Arabidopsis thaliana: one gene and its partner. The protein of the gene in region 1 interacts with the protein of each later gene in a pairwise test. Each region holds a gene or a part of one and is shown on either strand. Other genes may lie near its edges.

Region 1 (5,536 bases):
TCGCCGATGAATCCATGACGGCCGCCGCTGCCTCTCGTTGCTCACTTCCCGCTTTAACCTTGCAGTAACCTTGCAATGACTGAAAACAAAACGCAGCGTTTTGATCAATTCGGTTCGGTATTATGTTGGAATTCACAACCCAGGCTTAAATACTGAACCGGTAACCAATTGATGCCCGGATTTCTCCCAGAAAAGCTTTACTAATATGAAAGAAATGTATAATTTCGGCCCATTTGTTTTGAGCTAATTCTTGGGCCTCGCCACTTATAAATATTATTACCGTTCTTAATCAGACATTTGAAGTATCTCAGCACTAATTTGGGACAACAAAGGATAAAATGTCACGAATAATTTTGTAAGATGTGGTACGATAGTTTACGTATCTTCATTTTTGTGTATTATAAACAAAAATTACTTTTAAAATTTTAATCATTTGTGTATATATGGATTTGAATATGGTGGTGACACGATGATAGTGATAGAATAGTACAAATATGTTTATCTCAATTTATTTGTTCGAAAAGAAAGAAAAAGAGGATGTTTTACCAAACACAAAATAAAGTGATACAATAGATTATAAATATAAAGAATTTTGTAGCAATAAATACTATGATATTTAATACTTATCTTTTGATTCGTACCAAAAAAAAATAAAAATTGTTATCTTTTGAGTTTTGATATTGGTTATACATTTGTTTTTCTTTACATCCAATATTATATAGTAAGATAATTTTAATAACACTAATCAACATTTAATCAATAATATAGTAGTGTGCTTGATGATATATAATACTCTTTTGACAAGATTTTGATAATTTGTTATTGTCCTTGTTTGTATTATTATTAAAAGGAAATTGGATAAAAAGAAATATTAACTCTTTAAGACCGGCATAAGGGTTCGTTGTATCATATCCCACTAGGGGCAGAAAAAACTAGCAAGTTGCAACGCGTTTCCAGCTAAATTTTAATTGCATGTCCTTTTAGACTTTCTTAAATACAAATTTTGAATCGAACGAATTATAATAAACCCACCAGAACAAAAAAAAAAAAAAAAAAAACAGTAGACCAAAAACTTATATTTGAATTAAATATAACCCACTAGGTTGGTTGGTTATAATTTATTAACAAAACAAACGGGAATAAAAAATGATAATCTCCACTTGACCAGACTAGTAGCCAATGAAAGACTAGTTGGTAATAGTTTAAGCACGTCTACTTTTGCTTTAGGTCTAATATATATGTTTTATGTAAATGCACATGCTAATCAGGTTTAAATTCCATAACCTGGTTTATAATTTCCCTCTTAGTTAACACGCAGTTCCATCTACATATAGTACCTTCTAATAAATTGTTACGTCCCGAGAATATTATGTGTAATAGACAGATAATTCGAATATATATACTCAATACTTAAAGGTAATTTGATGTTCCCTTAATATGATCCATGATGACGATAAATCTTAAAGTTAAACGAATTGGAGTTTTTTTATTTCTGAACTTTTATCTCTCTGGTAATATTATAGACAGTGGAACAGTTATTGGCTTCATTCTAATTGATTCTTAGATCAGAATATCGGCTTTGTATTATATTTTCTATTTAGAACATTTGGACACAAGGATCAACCAACAAAAAACAAACTTATAGTAATGTTACATACTATGAAGAAATAAATTAATAAGTCTATCATTAACAATACCGATGCATCAAATATTCATTTACAAACCACAAAAGAAAAAAACGGTTAAGAGTAACATTTAAAAGAGTACAAGAAATTAAACAATGTCACAAAGAATGATACCATGTACAAAACAACAAATGGATTAATTCATTTAACAGATTCACCTTAAAATGTTTTATGTACCAGTACTAACACCCTCCAAATCCAAAGTTTTGTGAATCCCCCAACAGTACTTCGAAATTTCCAACATAAATCTCCCAAAGAAATCCCCATTAAATTACAATTCTTTCTAAGCCGATATATCTATTTAAAAAGAAAGAAAAGGTACTCGAAATTTTCTTCCTTGTAAAGAAGATCGAACATCTAAAAGAAATAGAACAACAAAAAAAATTAGATACATAATTGCAATTTATATAAGAAAGATGAGATTATTGCCGGTTGGTACTTCGAGCCAGAGACTGAAGGTTGCACCGGACGATAGTATCAACGAAGCTTAGAGTTTCCTCCTCCGTGTTTCCCGGCGGCACATCAACGATGTAAGACTCCACCACCACGGTACCTTCGTCGTCCGACGCGTGTAGTGTCGTCACCGATCGGTAGTTCTTGAGCCTGTGGTCCCCACCAACGACACTAAAGCTTATCACGTGACGCTCCTCGTCCAAGATCTCGAGCCTCTCGGTGCTCGAGACCGCCGGGAGTCCAGAGACCACCATGACCTCCCGGAGATCGCCGACGTGTAGTCCATCGCCTTGGACGATACGGCACTGTCTGATGAAGTTCTTGTAAACCTTCGGATTATCGAAACGCCGCACAAGAGCCCACACGGACTCAGGCGGCGCGTGGATCATCTGCACCACCGAGGAGCAACACTGGTCCGGACCAACGTCGTGTGTGTGGTGCATCGCAACGTGTTCAGGGACATGCATACCGCGCGTGAGACACACTCTCTTGATCGGACCATCGGTCTGATCGTGAGGCTGCAGCGTGTGGAAACCGTTAGTGGCGTCTGAGCCGTGTTGGAGTTGCACCGGTGACCTCATGATCTCTCCTCTATCTCTTAATTTGTTTTTGGGAGAATTTATGGAATCGTATATATTGCGATCGAGAGAGAAATAAGTTTGATGAGAAAAGAAGAGAGCTAGCTTTTTGATCTTGTTCGCTGTCGGTTGTCAAGTTGGTTTTGTTTGAGAAATTTAAAAAGTATGATCATCTTTTATTTTATAACAATAACAATAAGATATGAACATTGTGTGTTTTTAAAAATATATATTTGAAGATAGATGGATAGAGATAGCTGGGGATGTGAAGGCTTTGTGTTTGTATGTATATAGAAACAGTTGTGTATATAGACGCATTTGTATCATATAGATGTGTGTGACCATGTATGATACATTGTACCATCTTATGCCCCCATGATTTCTTTCCTCAGACGCCTCCTTCATTATCTTGAATATATATCACCAAAATTAATTGTATTCTATAGATCCCTCATTTCCATCTTGATAAATTTTATATTATAGAATCTACAAGGTTTATCTACATATGAATACTGTTAATAAATTGTTCATAGAAAAAACTGAAATTTCAGAATTAGTTTTATCTTTTTTTTTTAAATAAATCATTAGTTATAGTAAAATATGTTGCTGTTATTGTTAAAATTTACTTATTATATGCACATTCTGATCTTAATCTACTAAAGTGATAGTTATGAGAAATAACATGTACAATTTTTGAATATCACACGACTGTAACGCGCATGATTGATTGATTGTGGTAAATTTTAAGATAGACATGGTCATCATGGCGAAGTAAAAACTACATACATGCATGAGCACACGTGCATGCACAGATGTTGATGGGTTTGTCATATATGTGTAAATGGCGTATGTAAATGTGGTGTATGTATGGAGAGAGAAAGTCGGAGGACGGTGAGAGACCTTATCAAAGAGCTTACGCCGGACGAAGCAAGTGGATGTTGCAACTTGCAATCTTCTTTGGACTTGTTTAGGTGGAAGATTATCCTTTCCTTTTTTTCTCTATTTTCTTTTGTTCTTGTTGCCCATTTTTATATTATATTCTCATCATATAGTACAAAGGTTGTTGCATCGCGACTTTGTAATTTTTTCAATAAATAATAATATTTTGCGACATGGGTATGGTACTCTACATCAAGTTTCATGTACACTCGAATTGTATAGGCATGCAAACGTGCAATTTTACTATTTTTTTCTAAACCAACTATGATAATTGTCGTAATTAATTATAGAGGAATGCATTCAGTAATCCCACTACATTTTTTGAAAAGACTGATCTACAAGAAAATAATATTTATACGGTATAAATTATACCCTGTCAATGAGATAAAACGTAAAAAAAAAATGTAATCGTAATTTGTAAGACTAGTTAATAAATCTTGTGGGTTTTTAGAAATATTCGACCATCACACCAAAAAAAACAAGAGACCACATGTGGGTTTTTAGATTTTGTTTAACTTTCTAATTAAAAATTCAAGGCCCAATCGTTTGTTTTTTTAAAAATATTATACGAAATCATGCCCTGTAAGAATAACGAGAGAGCTTCACGGAACTCATAAGACCATCTCCAATGGTGAGAGCCTCCTAATGGGATCTCACCATTTTTTAAGTATAAATCTTTTGAATTTGTAAGATGAGAGCTTCTGATTTTTTTGAAAGATTTTTCATAGTCCAATGGTAAGTCTCTTTTAAAAGAGTTGTCTGGAAAAAAAATTATTCACAATAGAAAAAATGAGAATCATAGAAGAAATGTCTAACATGAGAGGCTGAGACCATATATTCACAATTCCTTACCATGTGAAAGCAAGTAAATAAAGAGGAATGAGATAGGAGAGAATAGAAATGCAGTAGACTTCTTGACAAATTAAAACATAAAGGTCAAGGTCAATAGAAATGTAAAACGATATGTGGAATGTTCCGTTGTATGGTTCCGGTCAGACATGATATTACTCTGTTGGAAACTTGCTGCAGGAAATAACAACATATCAGGTTCACCACTAAATGATTGCAAAGGAAGATCTATGGAAAGTACATAGATGCACCAACAATCTAAACACATGGCCATCACCTTTCCAAGCTTGTAAGCCCTCTTCACTTAGAAGAGCAGAACCAACGAAAATGAGTTCCTTCACTCAGAGTATAATCAACCAAAATGAGTTCCTTCACTCACTTTTGAGAAACTGCAAGTGGTACAGCCAGAAAAATACCCACCCAAATGGATTATCCCCTGAAGCTCTCTCTATTAGCCATCAAAAGTGATATTAGTCAGATACAAAACACCGTAAAGGAAACTATCGAAACACAAAGATTAGACTTTACCACAGGTGGGGTTGAAATATACTTCACTAGCTTCTTCACGTTAGATGGGTATCTCAAATCAAAGCCAAGATCCCTTAATCAACCTAAAATGTCCCTAAATTCTTTTCCAAATCACCACATTAAAATCACAATTAGAACCTCAAATTCCACAACCTTTTGCAAATTCTAGTTCAATAGCTACGAGAATCAAAGAGCAATCGAGAGTAAAAGTCCAAAACCCAGACAGACAAAATAAAAGAAAAACAATAGGACAATGAAAACCGAGAGACAATCGAATTTAAGAACAAACAAAAACAGTTCTATGAATCAAGACGAACGATAAGATTAGAAGAACAAACCTTGCAAAGTATGGAATCCATGAATCTCAGAGCCGATAAGCCTACCGAAATCAACGTCGGCCAGCTCGTTTCAGGTAAGTCCAATGATCCTCAAAGTCCCAGTGAAAAGATGATAGTAGAGAAAAAAAACGGAAAAAAAAAAGAAATACTGAAAAACAACGACACG
Region 2 (6,697 bases), about 22 Mb from region 1:
TTTTGATAAGCAGAGAAATGCTACCTCAGAAAGTCGATTTCCGCTCTCAGATTTTCTGATCACTGGGAAATCTGAAATAATGAAGTAGTCAATCAAAATTGCAAAGCTAGTGGAAAAGGAGATGGCAAAACATTGAAATTGGAGATGAATAAAATTACCGGCAGGATTGGGAATTTCACTAAGATCTGGACCTGAAGAAGCTTTGCTTAGCCTTTGAGCTGCTCTCTTTTGACGAATCTCTTCCAACTACAAGATCACAGAAATTAATAACAACAAAAAAGCACCGATGTAAGAAACTGTCTTCAGATGAAGATAAAGACGGCCATATCGGAAATATCCTTACAGTACGGCGACCTAGAGACGCGTGGTGCGATTCCATGGTATGATTCCTCTCCTCGGAATTTCGAACGTCGATTTAACGGTGAGGAAATCGCCGGCGACAAAAATGGAATATATCTATATTTGGGCTTATAGGAGTGTTAAATAGGCCCATGGACATATATAACTCTCTGACCTTGAAAGCGAGCCCAGTTTTTCAATTTCAAAAAGAAAAAAAAAATTGAATAAAAGTTGAAAACAGGATGATAAAAGAAAACCAGTTTCCGACAAAAAAAAAAAAAAAAAAAAAAAACCAGTTTATGCAATTGCAAAGACATTTAAAAGAAAAAAAAACGAGAATGTTCAAAAAAATCGTTAGGCGATAGCTAGGAGTTCGATTCTAAAAAAGTTACCAAAGTTTGGCGGTTGGAAACGGTTGGAAGTTATCAAAGCTTGAATCATCATTTTGATTTCTAAGTACTTTAAACAATGTTCAGTCTTAATGATCGACATCTTCTAATATGTCACATGATAAAGTGTGAACCATACCCGTTTGATGAAGAGTTATATAAACATGTTTTATAGATTATGTTGGCAAAAAAAAAAAAAAAACGTTTTACATAATAAGAAAAAAATGTTATAATATTGAATCCTCCCAATTAACCTTTGAAGTATTCTATACCGATTGTTTGCCTTGTTTAGTTACAAAATACACTTGAAAACAAATTCCTTAGTAAATATTTGGTTCTTTTCCTATTCTTAAAGATATCAGTCTAACATTTCTAATATTCCTATAAACATCGTCCTATATATAACAAAAAATAAATTTAAAAAGGTAAGATTTTGTTATGATCAACTGATTCTATTAAATTTAAAATTAAATTGAACTCAAGTCTTTCACATTTCACGGCTTTTTACCATTTTCACTACTGGTGAAAATCTTTGTAGATCTAAACCGCGATTCAACACAGTGACTGACATAACCCATAGTCAAGCTAAATTAAAAACCCTTCGTTGTCTTACACCGAAGAGCAAAAAAGGTTAAAAGAAAAAGCCCAAAAGTCGATGACTCAGGACAAAAAACAACAAACATTACGAGAGAGACAAATACAACTACGTGTCTCGTCGTAGATCAACCACCACAACACTTACGTTGTCCGAACTTTGTCTAGCCAACGCAAGCCTCGTCAGCAACAGCGACGCCTCCTCACACGCTTTATCTGGCAAATCTCCTCCTCCAACCACCACATTCCCGGCGCCGACACCTGTCATTTCCCTTTCCGGTGATGATGATACTTGACCATTGACTTTTCCTCTCAAACACATTCGAACGACGCTACATGCAGTTTCGTTTGAAACAACGTCCCAAAGACCGTCACTTGCGAGAATAAGAAAATCGTCTCCGTTGGCCCGGTCCGTCACGGTTACCTCCGGTCTGCTGATTACATACGGCTTCAAGTAATTATCTCCTGAAAAAAAAAAAAAAAATCCGCGGCGAAACGAGAGTTAATAATCATCATTATTGAAAGTACGGAAAAACTTTGTACAAACATTAGGATAGGGACAAGAGTGTTTTCGTCAAGTGTAATCAATTAACTGACCAATGGCTCGTGACATTGCAAGTACTCCAAGGACACGTGGGCCATCCCAGTAGATAACACGACCACCCGCTGCTTGAATCCGGTCTAGCTCGTCCGGACGGTCTGGCTGTTACAACAAATTTAAACAAGAGAGAGAGAGAGAATGATATAGTCATTGATAACAGTGACACGAAGGATTAAAGAATCTTAAAACTCATAAACTTTATCAGATCCTCTATCTAAAAAGTAAAAAGTCATTAAACATTCTTAATCGTCGTCCAGGTGTTGCATGCACATTAAAGAAGATTCTAATTTCCAATAAATGAAATAATAAATAAAAAATGCATTAAACAATATTAATAGGTAAGTTTCGAACGCAACACGTAACGAAATTCTCGTTTCATTACAGTGAGTAAACCATAACCGTAGATCTAACGGATAAACATTTAACGATGGATAAACGAAACAAGAGAGATTATCAAAAAACGAACAAAACCTTATGATCGGAGGATAAAGCAATGGCTTTGCCGTTACGACAGAGAACGGCACGTGAGTCACCGCAATTCGCCACGATGATTTTCTCCGGCGTAAGGACAGACACAACCGCAGTGGATCCCACCGCGTCGCAGTCCGGCCTCTGAAGCTCGCACCGGCATTTTGCCGCACCATCGGCGTTCAACGCAACAACCTCCATGTCCATGCGCGTGAAGCTACGCGCCATTGACTTTTCCCAGTCAGCATCAGCTTCAAACTCTTCACGGACTAGCTCGTGTAGTCTTTCTCTACATTTCATCGCTACCTAAACATCATATTATTAAAATTAAAAACCGACGTCGTAACGGTCAATTAAAGGATAATTTTTATAATAAAACGACGTCGTACATGGGAACAGCCATGGCCATCGTAAACGCCGCAATAGTGAAATCCGGTGGATGAATATTCCGTCTGATGACGGGAAAAAAACGGATGCACAGCGACGGCGTCTTCCATTTCACGTCTTCTTCCACAGACTGAAGCGACGCCGTATTTAGGATAAGCTTCAGGATCAGGCAATGCCACAACCGTTGAACTAAGAGACTCGCATAGGACGACAACTTCCTTCGCCGTTTCGTAAAACACGGTGGAGGTGGAGGCTGCGACGGTGGATTCTCTTCTCCTCCGCCTCTGTAAGTCACCGTCGACGAAGACAGGTTCTTGTTCGCCGGAAACAAACTTAAACCTCCGGATCTCCATTCTCCTTCTTCTCGCTGCTTGAGACGAGCTCCGTTCTCGTCTCCTCGTTGTCGTCGTTGCCTTCTTCACCACCGTCGCCGTCGTTTCAATCATCATAGTCTCGTTCTCGTAACAAATCTCAGCCATGTGATCGTCAAAACTATTCAACAAACACACTCCATCACTCTCCCCCGAAAAAAAACTAGTGAACGAGACACAGGAGAGAGAAGAAGAAGAGAAGCTTAAACAAGATTAGCCATGGAAGCTTTATATTAGCTTCTTTCACCAGAAGATATAAATAAATATAATCATCTTTATATTTACGGGCAGATGACCGAGACTTTTGAACGGGCAGATCAAAACTCAAAATCAAAATGAAGGAATGAAGAAGAGGAGATTGTTGAATGGCGTGACGTATCGCTCCTCTATCTGGACGACGAAATCTTGACCGTTGATTGTGTCCACGTGTAAAACGTACTTCTCCTAAATCGCGATACGAAACACTTACGTGCACCAATCAAAGTCTAACACTACTCAGACCTAAAGTGAAAAAGAACCTTTGATGACACGCATGCGATCTCTAAACCTCTTTTTTTTTTTTTAAGATTTTTACCAAGTTTTGTTGTGGAAATTTACCTTACCATTTTAATTTGTTTTACTATAAATACAACTAATTACGTCATCACTTTCATCACAACTTACTATTACATATGGAAATCAACCAATAGTTTGTTTTTCTTTCAATCATTTAATATAACATGAGATCTCTTAACCTCTTATTTTATAGATTCTTACCATATTTTGTTGTGTAAATTTATTACCACTTCCATTTGTTTTACTATAAACTATCACTAATTACGTCATCACTGCTAATCAATTCAATAGAAAGGTTGGAAACAAATAATCTTTTTATCTGAGTGAAAACTAAGATGGTGTTTTAGGCTTTTAGCTGGTGATGACGATTCATCGCGTTTGTTTCATTGTGAGCGTGACAATACGGTATATATCATCGTTTCTAAAGTTTGGTGTGTTCAAGGACAAATTATTATAGAAAAAATTGACCATCTGCGACTACGAAACATAAGAGAAAAATGTGATAATTGTAGAATATGTCACTACAAATATAACCTTGGTGCGTGAATACTTCTTAGAAACAATTTGAGACTGCATATGCTTTTTTTTTTAATTAGAACAATTTCTTATTTGCTAGAAAAGTAAGTTCAAATTTGTGAGTTATCATTTCAACACTTGTTTTGTTTCGTTTGTTTTACTTGTCTGGTCTATTAGTTTTGTTCTGCATTTGTTCCATTTGTTTCATCCCTTTTTTTATGCTGCAAGTGCAAACAGTCAGAGTTTTCAAATAAATATATTTAAGAGATTTTATATGGGCCGGGGAACTAATATTCAAAGATTTTAAAGGATATCTTACCTAGTTTTACAATTGAGATGATGAAAATGAATTTGAAAACTTATTCATGGTTTTAATCTTGACAAGTGTCCGGAATATTCAATGATTTATAATCGTGCAATCTTATGACTTATCAGACAGTTCTAAACTAATTTTACATCTATTTTTAAAATATCACCATCTTATGTTTGACATTACAATTTTCTTAGTTGATAAGTAGCATTTTGTGAATACAATAAAAGTGAACATCATTCTCCAATGTTTGACACAATATTGGGTTTTTGGGAATTTAAAATAAAAGCAACTGAAAAACAGAAATGATCATACGTTCTACATTGGACAATGGACATGTTAAATTCGAGTGAACTATATATTATACACTTATAATTTTCTTTTGTGGGCAAAAATTATAAGATATTCAATCAACAATTAGAAATAAACAAAATATAACGTTTTCAATTCTAAATCAATCAGGAATGACATCCAATGAGATACAAGTACGTAGATGGGTTTTGGTGGAAACTGGGGACCACTTCTCTATTACTAACATTTAACAACGTTGACCCCTCTCTGACCTGTTTTCTTCCTCGATGTTCGACACGTGTTTACATTCTCTACTTTTATGTCTTGACCAAGATTTTTTCTGTGTCAACATTCGTTTACTATGCATTAAGTAGGATCGAGAGTTGTAATTTGGGCTTTAACTGTTACTTACGTTACGCCGATGAATCTTATGTTTATGTAATGTGATGATGATATTTTAGTTAGTTAGTATTAATACAAAAATAATTCATAACCTAACTAAAATTAAGGAAAGAAAGAGAGAAGCTCAGCTTTTCGCGGAAAATTCTCTGGGACGTGGCGGCAAGCAATAGGATGATGATTTGAATTATGTGAGTCCCACATCACAGAACAAAACAAAATCAAAAGGTTGAAAAAAAACGAAGCGCGTGTGTAACACATGACACGTGTCCTCTGAAGCTGCATAGCAGTTGCCAGGTTTTTGAAGTTGACAGTAGGCAAATACATTGTGCCACGTGAAAGCTTCATCTTTCTTTCAAATATTATTATTATTAAAATTTAACCTGAAAACAAATTCGTCATCGACCAACAAGTCACTAACCATCACTTTCAAATCTTATGTAAAAATATAAGGTGAAAATTAGTTCCATTAAAATCTATGTTACTTTTGTTGTTTGTTTAGTGATTTCAATATATATATATAAATGTTGGTTAACTATATCATTTGATACTTGATAGGAATACGAAAAAATAAAATTATAACTGAAACATGGTTAGTTACTTTAGTAGGTGGTTGGAGAGCTTTCGGTAAGGAGACAATATATTGTCCTAGCTAGTTTGATTAATTATCTCGTCTTTGTTTTGTAACTTTGAATTGAAATCTTACCAATTTGTCGTTGGAATTTCCACATCACACATGATTAGTTATATACATTAATACAAAATGCTTTTCTTGATAATGAACAATGCCCGATCTCATACATTTTTCAAACTCGATGTTGAGTTATGTGTTTAATGGATTCTCCTGTTTAAATTTATTTCAAAACCATGCGCCAAACTCAACATCTAGTTTGAAAAACACAAACTTTAAACTCAAAACACAAATATTTTTCCTATTCCTAACCACTAGTCTGTAAAAGCTTAATGTTCCAATCTAAACGTAAGTTGTTTGAAAGAAAGTTCGGCAATTACGAGGAACCAATGAGGTGTCACCATTGTCCACAAGACATAAATAAGGTTTAACTCTAAAGTCTAGTTTTGAGGCCTAAGGAGACGCGTGTCGGACACAAGCCCCACGTTGCGGTTAATGGTCGTTGAGGTCGCAGTTACCAAAGGAGAAGTTTCAATAATTACGTGGCAAATTTGATTCCGACACGTGTTCTCCCGGGGCAGATTTTTCCTCGAGCCTGCATGGCCGGCAGATTGCGTAGTCTTTGAACTTTTACTATGTTACGTAGTCGACATTTGTCAATTTGGTACCAACCTTTTTTTGTTTTTTAAAACAAGAATTTCGACACTCGTAACCTATGATTTAAAATGATACTATATGATCAAATTGTCAAATTATTATAATAAGCTTATGGAAATTGGAAAAATACTAATCACACAAAGCCTATTGTACTAACACAAAGCCATTGTCAAATACACTTTTTTTTTT

The links.
Region 2: the proteins of PYL5 (region 1) and HAI1 interact in a two-hybrid assay, tested with the Arabidopsis thaliana proteins (one study listed by BioGRID).

Annotation. Positions count from the first base shown.
Region 1 is NC_003076.8:1,606,557-1,612,092, reverse strand, and holds PYL5 (Polyketide cyclase/dehydrase and lipid transport superfamily protein), read right to left. Parts: upstream 3,106-5,536; 5' UTR 2,720-3,105; coding exon 2,108-2,719; 3' UTR 1,566-2,107; downstream 1-1,565. Other genes in the region: AT5G05450 (P-loop containing nucleoside triphosphate hydrolases superfamily protein), read right to left, coding at 1-16. UniProt on the Arabidopsis thaliana protein: Receptor for abscisic acid (ABA) required for ABA-mediated responses such as stomatal closure and germination inhibition.
Region 2 is NC_003076.8:23,893,241-23,899,937, forward strand, and holds HAI1 (PP2C protein (Clade A protein phosphatases type 2C)), read right to left. Parts: upstream 3,700-6,697; 5' UTR 3,258-3,699; coding exon 2,781-3,257; intron 2,698-2,780; coding exon 2,395-2,697; intron 2,026-2,394; coding exon 1,920-2,025; coding exon of another isoform or gene 1,897-1,919; exon of another isoform or gene 1,788-1,896; coding exon 1,432-1,787; 3' UTR 1,164-1,431; downstream 1-1,163. Other genes in the region: AT5G59210 (myosin heavy chain-like protein), read right to left, coding at 25-71, 159-246, 344-379. UniProt on the Arabidopsis thaliana protein: Acts as a negative regulator of abscisic acid (ABA) signaling for stomatal closure in leaves, and controls water loss during leaf senescence. Activated by the NAC029/NAP transcription factor during ABA signaling in senescing leaves.